3 linked regions of the Lepisosteus oculatus genome follow. The protein of the gene in region 1 binds, or shares a complex with, the protein of each later gene. Links are inferred from orthologs where the notes say so. Each region holds a gene or a part of one and is shown on either strand. Other genes may lie near its edges.

The links.
Region 2: smarca4a (region 1) and smarce1 share a complex: the UniProt entries of both Homo sapiens proteins name them as parts of the BAF complex. The link is inferred for Lepisosteus oculatus from reciprocal best matches to the Homo sapiens genes SMARCA4 and SMARCE1.
Region 3: smarca4a (region 1) and smarcc1a share a complex: the UniProt entries of both Homo sapiens proteins name them as parts of the BAF complex. The link is inferred for Lepisosteus oculatus from reciprocal best matches to the Homo sapiens genes SMARCA4 and SMARCC1.

The regions. Positions count from the first base shown.
Region 1 is NC_090706.1:16,566,018-16,570,027, forward strand, and holds the start of smarca4a (transcription activator BRG1), read right to left. Parts: upstream 3,051-4,010; 5' UTR 2,816-3,050; intron 1-2,815. UniProt on the Homo sapiens protein: ATPase involved in transcriptional activation and repression of select genes by chromatin remodeling (alteration of DNA-nucleosome topology).
Region 2 is NC_090723.1:9,906,808-9,910,817, forward strand, and holds the start of smarce1 (SWI/SNF-related matrix-associated actin-dependent regulator of chromatin subfamily E member 1), read right to left. Parts: upstream 3,046-4,010; 5' UTR 2,956-3,045; intron 2,088-2,955; 5' UTR 2,043-2,087; coding exon 2,036-2,042; intron 669-2,035; coding exon 625-668; intron 33-624; coding exon 1-32. UniProt on the Homo sapiens protein: Involved in transcriptional activation and repression of select genes by chromatin remodeling (alteration of DNA-nucleosome topology).
Region 3 is NC_090705.1:20,050,124-20,054,133, forward strand, and holds the start of smarcc1a (SWI/SNF complex subunit SMARCC1), read right to left. Parts: upstream 2,641-4,010; 5' UTR 2,571-2,640; coding exon 2,376-2,570; intron 1-2,375. Other genes in the region: KAT8 regulatory NSL complex subunit 1, read left to right, coding at 3,700-4,010. UniProt on the Homo sapiens protein: Involved in transcriptional activation and repression of select genes by chromatin remodeling (alteration of DNA-nucleosome topology).

The sequences.
Region 1 (4,010 bases):
GCGTTTTAAGAGATAAAAGCATAAGTAACAATAGCACTCCAACACAAAACCGAAACGAATTTCCCCCTGCTGTTAAATGAATCAAGAGGAGCCAAGCAAGCACAGAAGACTCAGCGGCCCCGAACGATCATGGCCTGTCGCTCTTTAGATTTTGGTTCATCGAGAAAAACAGACACCGACACCTAGCAAGCTCGTCAGTGCAAGGTGCTCCACTACAGAACAGGGCTCCAGAGAATTGGCATGATCCACATAGCTAATATACTGCCCGACCCCTTCTCATAAACAATCAACACTGAAAAAGCTTTTCGCAGGAGAGCCTATATACTACATCTGCAACTTCATCAACAGGTACAGGACCTGCCACAGCTGTCTGTCTAGACTGTGCTATCATCTACCCACTCCAGAAGGGCTTGCAGATAAAGCCCTACCACTGTGAATCCACATATTGCTCTGCGTCGATACAAAGTACTGCCCCTATATATCCACATATGGACTTAGTGGTTGTAAGTAAATATCAAACAACAAGCTTTCAGAAAGTTTTCCATATGTGGGTGTCACTGCCTCTCGACACGGTCGGGTCCCTTTTTCCAGAAGAACTCTTGCATTGAATACTAGAACTTTGATACAGACTCATCAGTCACAAACAGATGTCTGGGCTCTCCATCAGACCGACAGGTCAAACTGCAAACTGGTGAAGATGTGAATATGCTGCACCTTTTGTGCAGAGAGCAGCGCTACACGTTCAGAGTTCCCTTCTGTTTACGAGACAGAACTGGATATCTTAATCCGATTCACAAAAAGATATAGAATGTGAATGACCCAACTCGAGCAACTCTTGACTCAGTAAATCAGCGCATCTTGTTGATCTTGACGGGCACGATCATTTGAAAGTGAAAGACACTGTGACGATCCAGCATTTTAGCACAAACGCATCCTGATGAGGTGGTCTCACTGCCATTTTCCTGTTGAGTCCTCTTCAGATTGGCAGCGGGAAAACTATCCATCCAGCCCAAGGTTGCAGCGAGACCCAGAGACTATCCTTGCAAGCAACAGTCGCAAGGAACGATTCACCCTGGGTGGGACACCAGTCCATCACACACTTACAACAAGCCCTTGGAGAAAACTCCATTTTCTGCAAATAAAACACTTACACATGGAGGTCACAACAACACAAGGGGTGGGCACGGAGAGGACTGGGGTTGTGCATAATACAGAAAAGCAGAAGGGAACCCAAGACCTTGCGCAACGGGCCGGCACACTTTCTCCGAGAAAAGAAGAGTTTGGTTTAAAACCACTGTTGTGGCGTAAGTAAGGAAAACAGAACATACGTATTTTCCTTTGACAACCCAGATTAGAGTTCCCTGAACCCATGGCTACAGCCCCCCCTACAAAAGCACTTTTTTGTGTAGCTGGAGGCTGCAACTCTAATGGACCCCCCAAATATTCATTGATAAAAGCATCCCAAATTTACCTACACAACCTAACGCTGCTAGAGAGTTTTATGTGGACTCAAAAGCTTACAAAAGCTCTCCAAATGATAGAAAATTCTCAATTAAACACTTGACTTTTACACACCCTGGTAGCTGTAAACCTTTAAGAATGGTTCATACACCGACTGCAGACAGGACAGAATTGGCGACAGGGAAGTTTACCGAGAGCTAAAATGGGGAAAAATTAAAACACCATCCCGGACTACAACCTTTTACAAGAAAGGTAGAGTGCGACGGGGCTATTACAACTTTTAAATAACGTCTGTGTTGTTGATTTGTTAAGTAAAATGTTAATTTTGAGGCCTTTAACCCCTCAGATGCACAGGCTTCAAATCCTAAAGAATCCTTCAATTTGAAAACTCGAGTTGAACTGGTGGGACAGATACAGTCATTTTCAAAGTATAAAAATGACATTTCCTAAAGATAAAACGTACCTGATACTTATAACCGATTGGGGAGATATACATTTAAATATTTCTTCTGTATCTTCTATCCTAAACACGTTATGATAATTTGGAATAAACACAAAATGTCTGTCCAATAACAAAACAGGCAGTCTCAACATTACCAACATCAACAAGGAAAGGAAAAAAAAACGTCTAAACAGCCATAGTAGAGTCTGGCGGCTTTGAAAAGGCGTTTATTCGTGTTTAGGTGCGATGAGTACAGTAATAGAATAAATACATTTAAATTATTTCAGCATCGGAAAAAGTCAATATTAACCTACCTCACAAAAGCTTGTTCTCATTGTAAAAAGAAACACAGTAACGCCTATACATCATTATCAGACGCTTTTATTATGGAGGAAAAAAATGTCTCTCTGAACTTGGCCGTGTGAGAAGGGGGTATTTAAATTCTTCATTTTTCGAATAAAAACTGGAATTTCGTTCAGCTGGATACAAAGGGTGAAAATCGGGAGACAAAGAGCTACCAGCCGGCCATGCTGGTTTCTCTCGCTTAGCCTACGCTGGATATATATTTTAAGTTGATGTTTTCAGAAATCCCAGCAGCGAAAAAAGGCAAAACGTTATTTTTTAAGTGTATTGATCCGCCCGGCCTCCCGTACCCTTCCCGGTCTGTATTTCCCCCATAAAATAATTTCATTCATTCGAGCTGAGCGGTGGCTCACAAGCACACGGACCAAGGAGAAACATCTTTCAGCTGACGAGCCGAGCGCAGGGGAAGGAGGAGGAGGAAAAGGAAAGAAGGAAAAGCTCCAGACCGGCAAACAAATGAACGAAGGGGAAAAAAGGCAAAAAATAGGACCCGTTTTCGTGAAAAGGCCACGTAGAGACTCAACGGAGCAATAATCGAGGGGCGCTTACCAGCTCAGGGCAAATGCAGGTCTCACCGGCGCGTCTTCCCCCTCGCTTTCTGCGGAAACAAAGAGCTCCCTGCTGGCTGCACCCCCCTCCCTCTCTCTGTCGCCTGACTGTATTTCTCCAGCCACACCAACCATAGAGTCTGAGCGTTAGCGCCCCCCCTCCTCCACTCTCTCTCTCTCTGTTTTGTTTTTTCTAAAACCCGGCCGGCTTGTCCGAGCGCAGGCGCAGTGCCGGCACCACTGCAGGCGGAATGCGCCGCGGCAAAGAGGCCGGCCGGTGCGGCTCAGCCGGACGTGTTGGACGAGGTGGGGGATGGGGTTACTCTCAAACAGCGCCGAGTGCGCGTACGCGGCTCGCTCACGTCTTGCACCTGAAGAGCAGTACACTGTCGTTTACCAAATAACCTCCTTTCACCCGTACTCTAGCACCAGAGTAGATTCAGAAATCGCACAGAGAGCGTAAATAGTTTGGTCGCTAAGCGTTTTTACGCAGTAATCGTGCATTTCCCCAGGGTCTCCTATATTCGTATGTTCCGAAAGGTACCTTGGCAACATGTTTAAAGTGGTCCCTGGAAACTATTTTTTCCTCTCCCTAAGTTTTATCATCTGTTAAAAAGTGAGAATGAAGGGTCAAGCAAAATCCCGCTTAGGTCAGAAGATATCTTTTTTTTTAAATGACTAATCAGTTTGGGAAAAAAACCCAGAAGACACCAGGTTCTCGAGAAAAGGAGGATGAGACTGCCGCTGGGTCGCGGGATGGAGCCCCAGCGCTCAGACTCCAGGAAGCCCAGGAGTGGAGTCGAAGACCTCGCCCTCCTCAGGGACCGGCGGCACGTTTATCCCGGCGGAACCGCGGAGCCCGACACCCGGCCCGCGGCCGACGCTGCCTGTCTCCGCGACGGCGCGCAGGCCCGAACCCGTGAAGCCGTTTCCGGGACGGCCTGGACGCACTCAGCACGCCGGCGCTGATTGGGGGAGGGAGGACGGGCAGAGCAGCAGGTGTCTTCTGGCCCTGGCAGCACGTCTCGACCACCATCCTGGACAAGCCTTATGGGAATTCTAGCAAGGACCATGGACTCTCTCAGAGGCTGGTGCCACAGTGCCACTTGCGTGTCTTCCTCCGGCACTGCACCTCTGCCAGGAGACCAGTGCTGCCCAATTACTGACCCTCACCCCCATTCTCCCTACCCAGCCCG
Region 2 (4,010 bases), on another chromosome or scaffold:
TATCCCACAAACCCTGGGGTGTTGGGCATTTGCTGATGGAAACAAATGAGACAAAAACACGAATGAGAAATGACAGAAACAAAGAGGGGAGGAAAAAAGAATGAAAAGGAGAAAAACGAACCAAAAAACAAAAAGAATATGGTCTGCATACGGAGTCATGCAAAAGCAACTAACCATTTTTTTTTTCAAAGCAGCAATGGTAGTGATCTACATTGGCATTATTGACACTCCTTGCGTCAGGACGACCTTCGCTTACAACCAAACAGGAAACATACCCACAGCTAAGGCATTACTTTAGAGTTACAGTCACACATAACTGGTGTCTGCTGAGGACTAATGGCATTTGAAAGCTGAACGCTTCACCCACAGTACAGTAACTGCAGGGGACAGTTCACTGGCCCTGCAGCACCAGCACATGAAGTGTGGAAAATTCAAGCCCTGCAGGGACCTCCTCCTGTTAGTGGTTTATGGAGGAACGAGGGAGAAGACTGCATCTCTTTGAGATGTTCGAACACATTTCTTACGGACTCAAAGGCCGGATCCCAGCCTGTTATAAGGTTCAGAGGCCCTTGCACAGTGAAGGAGCCGCCTCGTCTGTCTCTGTGCTGCATCTGCAATACTTACTGTGGTGGGGGCTGGGGCAGGGGGAGGGGCATAGGATGGCCTTTCTGCATGAAAGAAAAGGGGAAAGAAATTAATGACACACGGAGCTGCACGGAGCCATTACTGCACTGCTCACAACGCACCTGTGGGGATGGGGCAAACCGGGGCACACCCCAGGGCGATTTGGCTCCCCCCCACACTGCGGCTGGCTGCAGAGTTGCTTGAATTAGCACCGATCACCCTGCAGAGCTACAAGCAGCCCACCGAAACTCTCCGAAGAGGCACCATGCCCGTTGAACTGGGGAGCAGTTATCAGTACTACGATGCAAAGGACTAGGTCCAGATCTCAATAAATGGAAAAACTGTCTGATTTTGAAGCCGGATCAGCTAAACCAAGCAGTCCTATATATATTCTCTGGCTGGGATCCCCGCCAGGCACTTCTGTCCTTCCAGGCCTATCAGTATTCATTCAAGCAGCTGCTTTCTCCTAGAAATCACCTTTATCCCTTCCCATGTGTTTCAGAAATTAGCACATGCAACCCTAACAAAAATACCTCATTTACTACCCCCTACTCACACCTTAAAAACAAGATATATTCCCCAAAGAGCTGACCTGCATAACACACAAAACACACAGGGAAAAGTCTTCATAGGATTATCTATGAAATTCTTCACCCATTTAGTGGAAAGATTAATTCCTGAAGAAAACTATCAAGGTCACTATTTAGCTTTTTTAATGCAAAGCAACCTTCAGAAAAAGTTTTAAAAAAACCTTCAAGTGGAATCAGTCTCTGGTCAGCCCAATGCCAAGTAAATGTCTGTTTATTGCTGAGAACACACTTGAGCTTTAACACTCCTTTCTGCTCACTGAAATCAGCCTCACCTAAAACTTTTTAAATTAACGCACAGCCCATTTAAACTAAAGGTTAAGCATGAAGACAGGATTAGATTCTCAATGTCAGTATCTTTTATAAACCGGTTACACCCCTCTTGAACTCTTCCTGGTCTCTTTTTGTCCGCAAAACAACGGACGACAAAGGACAGAACAAAATTAATTAAAGGGGATTTTAAAATTAAAAATCTGTTTTTTACAAACAAGCTCTAAGAGACCCATGGTGTTTTTGTAAACGCGGGACTACTCTGTGAATGCTGAACTTGGAACACGGCAAAAATAATTTATGTGGATTTTATTTCTACCATTTTGTGTTCTGGCAAACAGCACATCGTCCTGCTTAGACAGAAAAAGCAAAACGTTTTCCTGCGGGCCAAGAGTAATGCCTGCTCAGTGAAAATGCTGAGTTTCTGAACTGGACTGGAGCTCTGGACAAGCCTGGAAAGGCCAGCAGGGAGGGGAGACTGGAGGCGACAGGGAGACCTGTACTCTTCTGATACTACAATCAAACCACATGAACTGAAATTTAATTTTCCTTACTTGACATCTTGGATGATGGATGGAGGATATCAGGCTATTCCGGTCATTGGTTCTGTAATAAATAAATCTTTTTAGAACAAAAAAAGGAAAAGAAAATAATACAGCATGTTGAACTGTTTGGTATGGATACGGAGATATTGAGCTACTCATGATAACCAATCCTGCCAGTCTGATTAGAGACGCCAATGATGCCAAGTCACGGTTCTGTGCAGTGGCAGCTGTTTCGTTGCAAAGTACTACAACATTTCAAAGCCTCAAAGCAGCCCAGATACATATACAATAAATAAAGGCGCTTTTCTCTCACTAGCAAAGAAAATATGATAAAGCAGACTTTACAACACAAACACGAGAGAGACATGCAGTTCTGTCAGTAACACCTGAATAATTATTATTATTACACCAGAGAACGACACGTTCATCACAGCACTGTACAACACACTGTGCCGATCTTACTCTGAACAGCTCATTCCTTGCAAAGAGGATATCACCGCTCAAGAGACTTGTGCTTGTATACATCTGCTCACTGACCCGTCTCGTTGTCTGTACACACAAGGCCTCACAATAACAAAGAAAACCTCGAGTTCTACCGGCACACTAATCTTCCTGACCCCTACAAACAATATCTTGGATGAACGCCGGCTCTAAAGGGCTCTGGATACTAACAAGTAAACAAAAATCAAACTAAAAGCAAATTAAACAACAGGCCATAAGATGACAGATGTTCTGCAGCAACACCAAATGAATGGCGGCAGACATTCCGGCGGCTCAGGGATGGAGATAAACCAATACGCCAAACTATGTCGATGGTCACGCACAGCAGCACAACGCCTGGGATGTGGTTACTTTTGGGTCACTTGCTGGCCAGTTTTCACTTGGACATTTTGTAGAAAACGGTGAAAATGAACCTAAAACACACTCACCCCCACACAGCCTTTGTTCGCTCGCACCACTTCCTCTGCCTCCCCCACGCTAACCTTCGATTAAACTCGGGAGATTCGCTGTTTCAAACCGGCCCGGAGAGATAGGTAGGAGATCTACGAGGGGCGAGAGAGGCGAATTAAATAAAAAAAATCTTAATTAAAAGACTAAGAAAAATAATTTGTATTTTATATTTCATTATATATATATGTTTTTGACAATACTAACTGAGCTTTGATTTAACGTTCTTTTGTTTTTCGAAAGTGCCGCTCTTGACTCTCAGATAGAATTTGCGTGAAGTCCATGTTATGGATTGTGTGAGAAATACACTGGAGAATTTTTGTTTTTTTAAATCGATAATGAAGAATTTTTCAAATGCTTTTTCAAATGCTTAGCTAATAATACTTAAAAATAAGAACGGGCTCTACTGCAGGGTTTCTCATTCTAAAGGGTCGCAGGGCGCTGTACACTTGGAAGGGGTCTCACGTCATCCCGCACTGTCCTGCCTCACCTGGGTGACACTGCAGGTCCGGGGACAAGGGAGATTGGAAAAATAAAAAATTGAAGCTTCACGTAGGCCACGGCGTGCTGGATTTCAGAGGGGACTGAGTGTGTCAACACTACAACATTTAAATCATTTTCTGTCTTTGCCTTTAGAAATCAGTTGTTAAAATGTGATCTTAAAAATTGTCCTGTCTTCATTCCTATTTTGATTTCTTTAAACATGAAAGGATGTATATATAGAGAGAAATTCAGTTGAGTCCTAATGTTTATTATTATAATTCAGGTGCTGTTGTTTTTTCCTTTCATTTGCTAAGCCCTACCCAGTGAAAGCCACCGTCACTGTCAGTATATACGATAAATATATCAAACTCCTGAAGGGAATTAGGGGCCATCATGAACAATAATGTCCTTTGGATGAGACGTAAAACCGAGCTCCCAACTTTCTGTGGTCATTAAAAATCCCAGGGCATTTCTTAAAAAGAGTAGGGTGTTACCTCAGTGTCCTGGCCAAATTTCCCATTGGCCCTTACCAATCATGGCCTCCTAATAATCT
Region 3 (4,010 bases), on another chromosome or scaffold:
ATGTTGTGGGACAATAACTATGTAGTAGTGAGAGAAAAACAAAACATGGTAGACTATGCAAAAAGTGCATAGTGCAGATGTGTATTGAGTCTGAGGCATTGCAGTTAGCTGTTGAGGATGCGTAGTGCAGCAGGATAGAAGCTGTTCTTAAATCTAGAGGTCTGTGTTTTAATAGTGCAGTACCACTTCCCAGAGAACAGTCTGTGGCCAGTATGGTTGGGATCCTGAATGATGGATTGGACTTTAGTGCAACAGCGGATGGTGTGAATCTCACTGATCAATGGTAAATCACATCCTATAATCCATCCTTAATCCTAGAAATTGCTATCTGTGTGGAGTTTGTATGTTCTCCCCCGTTCGCACAGCTTTCTTCCAGGTGCTCCGGCTTCCTCCCACAGTCCAAAAACATACTGGCGGGTTAGCTGGCCCTAGGTGCGAGTGTGTGTATCTGTGTTTGTGCCTGCTTGCCCTGCAATGGAGTGGCACCCCATCCGGGGTGTATCCTGTCTCTTGCTTGCTGCTTGCCAAGACAGGCTCTGGCTCCCCTGCTATCCTGAACGGGACGAAGGAGTTAGAAACTGGATGGATGATTAAACATCCCTGGCAAGGCCAGACTGAGCCACAGGAACTCCAGCAGCACTCAGACAAACCCTTATTCTCTCATTGTTCTTACAAAATATGACTGACCACACACTGTGACCTTTTGCATTGGAGGATATTTGCAGTGCGGCCACTGGGCGAGACGCAGACGTATCTATTCTGGAGTACCTACAGAGTCATCCACGAGTTCCTCTGGATGAAACAGTTCAACTTATTAATGAAAACGGTAATCGGACATGTCTATAAAGGTTCAGTCTGGATTGTTGCGAGAAGAAACACAGCCACCAGAAACAATACCCAAAAGCCATGTGAACTAAGATAAAGGTTAGCGCAATCCAACAACCAAGCAATACAAAACTCTTCAAATCATTTAATATCAGCTGATCCACTATCCACCTTTCAGTTCTTTAAGCATAGGAAACGTTACTGACACAGCCACAAGCAAACATCTGTCAAACTACAGCGCCCGGAAGCTCTTTCAGACACGCACTGCTTTAGCATAGATAGGAGAAATAAACTCCCACTTCTCTGCAGTTTAATCCGATTCGGGTTTTACGGGTTGCACTCTTATGCATCCAGTCAAAACCTGGATGTTTCAAGTTGGTAACCTTCCCACGTAAATCTGCAGGGGGGACGTACGTATCTCCTTCAACTCCAAATCGATCAAAATGCATCAAGAGCAGCTTTTGGAGTCGAATTGCAACTACCGCTCAGCAACACGAGATCTGGGCTCATCTCCGCCCCCTTGCTTCGTAGCTCCGTTAAAAATACCAGTCGGCCATCTGTACAAATTGTGATACCACACATACAACCTACAAAATCACACGTCCCCCCCCCCCCCCCACACACACACACTCGCATTTCGATTACGATATCGTGTATCCAGCAATGCCGGCCAAGGCGGTGGGGCTCTCGAAACAAAGCGTTTTCTCTGCTTGAGGAGGCAGGAGACGCAGCTGCCGTGCAGACAATCCACACGGGACTCTTTGTTCGAGCCTGCGGGCTGTGTCTGGACAGCGGCAGCATCCCGGAGTCACACAACTGCGAGGAGCAGCACCACCTGCGGCCGCCTCCACCTCGCCCGCGGCCGGCACGCCGACACCACCGAACCCGGGGCCCTTTTCTTTTTTCTCCGTGGGCTGACTTTGGAAACGAAGTCAGCTGTCACATGCGTGTGGCCTAGGGTTTTGTTTTCCGTAACTGCTGGCCCTCGACCAAAGCTGTACATCAACATTAACCTAAACACACCTTTAGTTTCACAGCGCTTTCCACGGAAATGTGTTTTGCCGTGTCTTTTTGGGTGAGACCGTAATATCTCCCCTAGAGGCTTCAACATTGCCAGGCAAATCCACTTCCTTTGCCTGCTGACCAGCGACCAACTTCAGAAAAACACAAAATTAACACCAATACTTCGATCCATTAACGCGCCACCCTTAATCACGGTTATCTGCCCACCTTTCGTACAAAAATCCACTCCATTATAGAAAGAATTACTTAAAAAACTTGAATTCACCGTCACCCACACAACATCCCTCACCATCAAAACAACTGACCAACAGCCTCGATGCTTGCGTTTAGCGGCTTGCTGGATAGAACGCAAATCGGTTTAAAAAATGAACCGATTTCCCTTGCAATGGGGCCATCTTAAGTAAACCAAACGAATCAAGAGCATTATTACTCCCTCCGCGATTTCACTGCCCGTACAAAAGGCGCCTCTCTGTCGAGCAAGGCGCACGGATGTAGCCGCCGAATCAATGGAGGTGGAAGAGCTTTACCTTCTTGTAGTGCTTTCCGATCCATAGCCGGACCGACTCCAGCTGAGAGACCGTCTCCGAGCTCTCCCAGTACTTAGCAGACGGGCCCCCATCTTTCTTTCTGCCCACCGAGAGAGTCGAAGCACCGCTGCCCCCTTGCCCGGCCGCCGGGCCCCCGGAGCCCGCTCCCCCAGCTGCAATTGCTGCTGTCGCCATTGTTTTGTGCTACTCGCCTCGCTTCCTCCCCAGCCAACCGCCTAGCTCCCAATTCAAGGCCTAGAACCGAACTGCGCAGCCGCCAACCTGCTTCGCAGGGGCTTCCTTGGGAAGGTACTCCCTCGCGGGAGGAGTGAAGGCTAATGGGAAATGTAGTTCACACTCATTTTAGGGACATGTCTGTAATACAATGCTCTAAAATATCTCTAAAAATTGAGGTATTTTAGAGATATTTCACACTTGAAGAAGGCTCCACGGCCGAAACGTTGTGTTCCCTTTCTTATTTTTTCCAGCATGGAATAAACCTATTACTTGTTCCTAAAATATCTCAATATAGCAATCTGGGTTAAATAGCATTCTCCGTCATCTCGCAATTCAGCCTGTATAACAGGATATTTGTTGAGTAGTTTAAGTAGGTAGCTGCGACAGCATGCGTAGGCTGCAAAGAAACAAGTTAAAAGTTTATTCCATGCTGAAAAGAGGAAAGGAAACAACGTTTCGGCTGTGGAGCCCTCTTTGGGCGTGTCGGGGTATTAGTTGAGTATATTGCACTGAGTATTACGGTTGACAGCCATGCAAATGTAAGAAAAAGAAGATATGATATATCAGGATGGAAACTATGAAAGATGTTAAAAAAACACCGCCCTTTGTAGCTATTCCAAAGCAAACCCAAACAAACATATCTTCACAACATTAATTACCTGATAATATTTTGTAATAAGCCTACAAAAATGGATAGTAGGCTACTAAAATATAAAGTTCTTTATGAGCTCTTCTGTACCTCTTGTTTAGAATCTTGAAGAAATCTTGAAGGTTTACAACAATACTTGCAAAATCAATTACGATAAACTCAGAAGTGCTTTTATTGTATCGTACTATTGTAACAAGGCAATATTCATCTTGCAGCTTTAAAGGTAACGGCATATTCCCCGATTGCAGAGTAGTGACAGGCGCCTGCGCGCTGGTCGTCAGTGAGCTGACAGACCTCATACCATGTACAGCACAAAACGCAGAGAGGCAGTGGGAGTGACGGGTAGGACAGCTCCAGTCTCTGCGGGACACGGAGGCAGGGCGGCGGGAGCCTTGACTGTCCTACCAGTCCTGGCCATGCCAACGACCAGATACGGCGATGTATTTTTATTTTACCTGGCCTAAAATGAGCGGCAGTGAAGCGTGTGGGGGAGGCGGGGCAGAGGGGACCCTGCCCAGCGGCGAGTGGGGAAGCGGGGGAGGAGGCAGCGGTGAGCTCGCCGACAGCGACGGAGCTTGTGTGCTTGCTCCTACCGCCGCTGCCGCAACTCCAGCTCCGTGCTGCGAGGGAGAGGCCGGCAGCGCCCGGGCCCAAATGTATAGCGATTGGAATCATGAAGATAAAATCCGCAATAATGTGGACGCCAGCAGTAAAAATAAGGTCGTGCTTCTGGACAATGCCAGTGACAG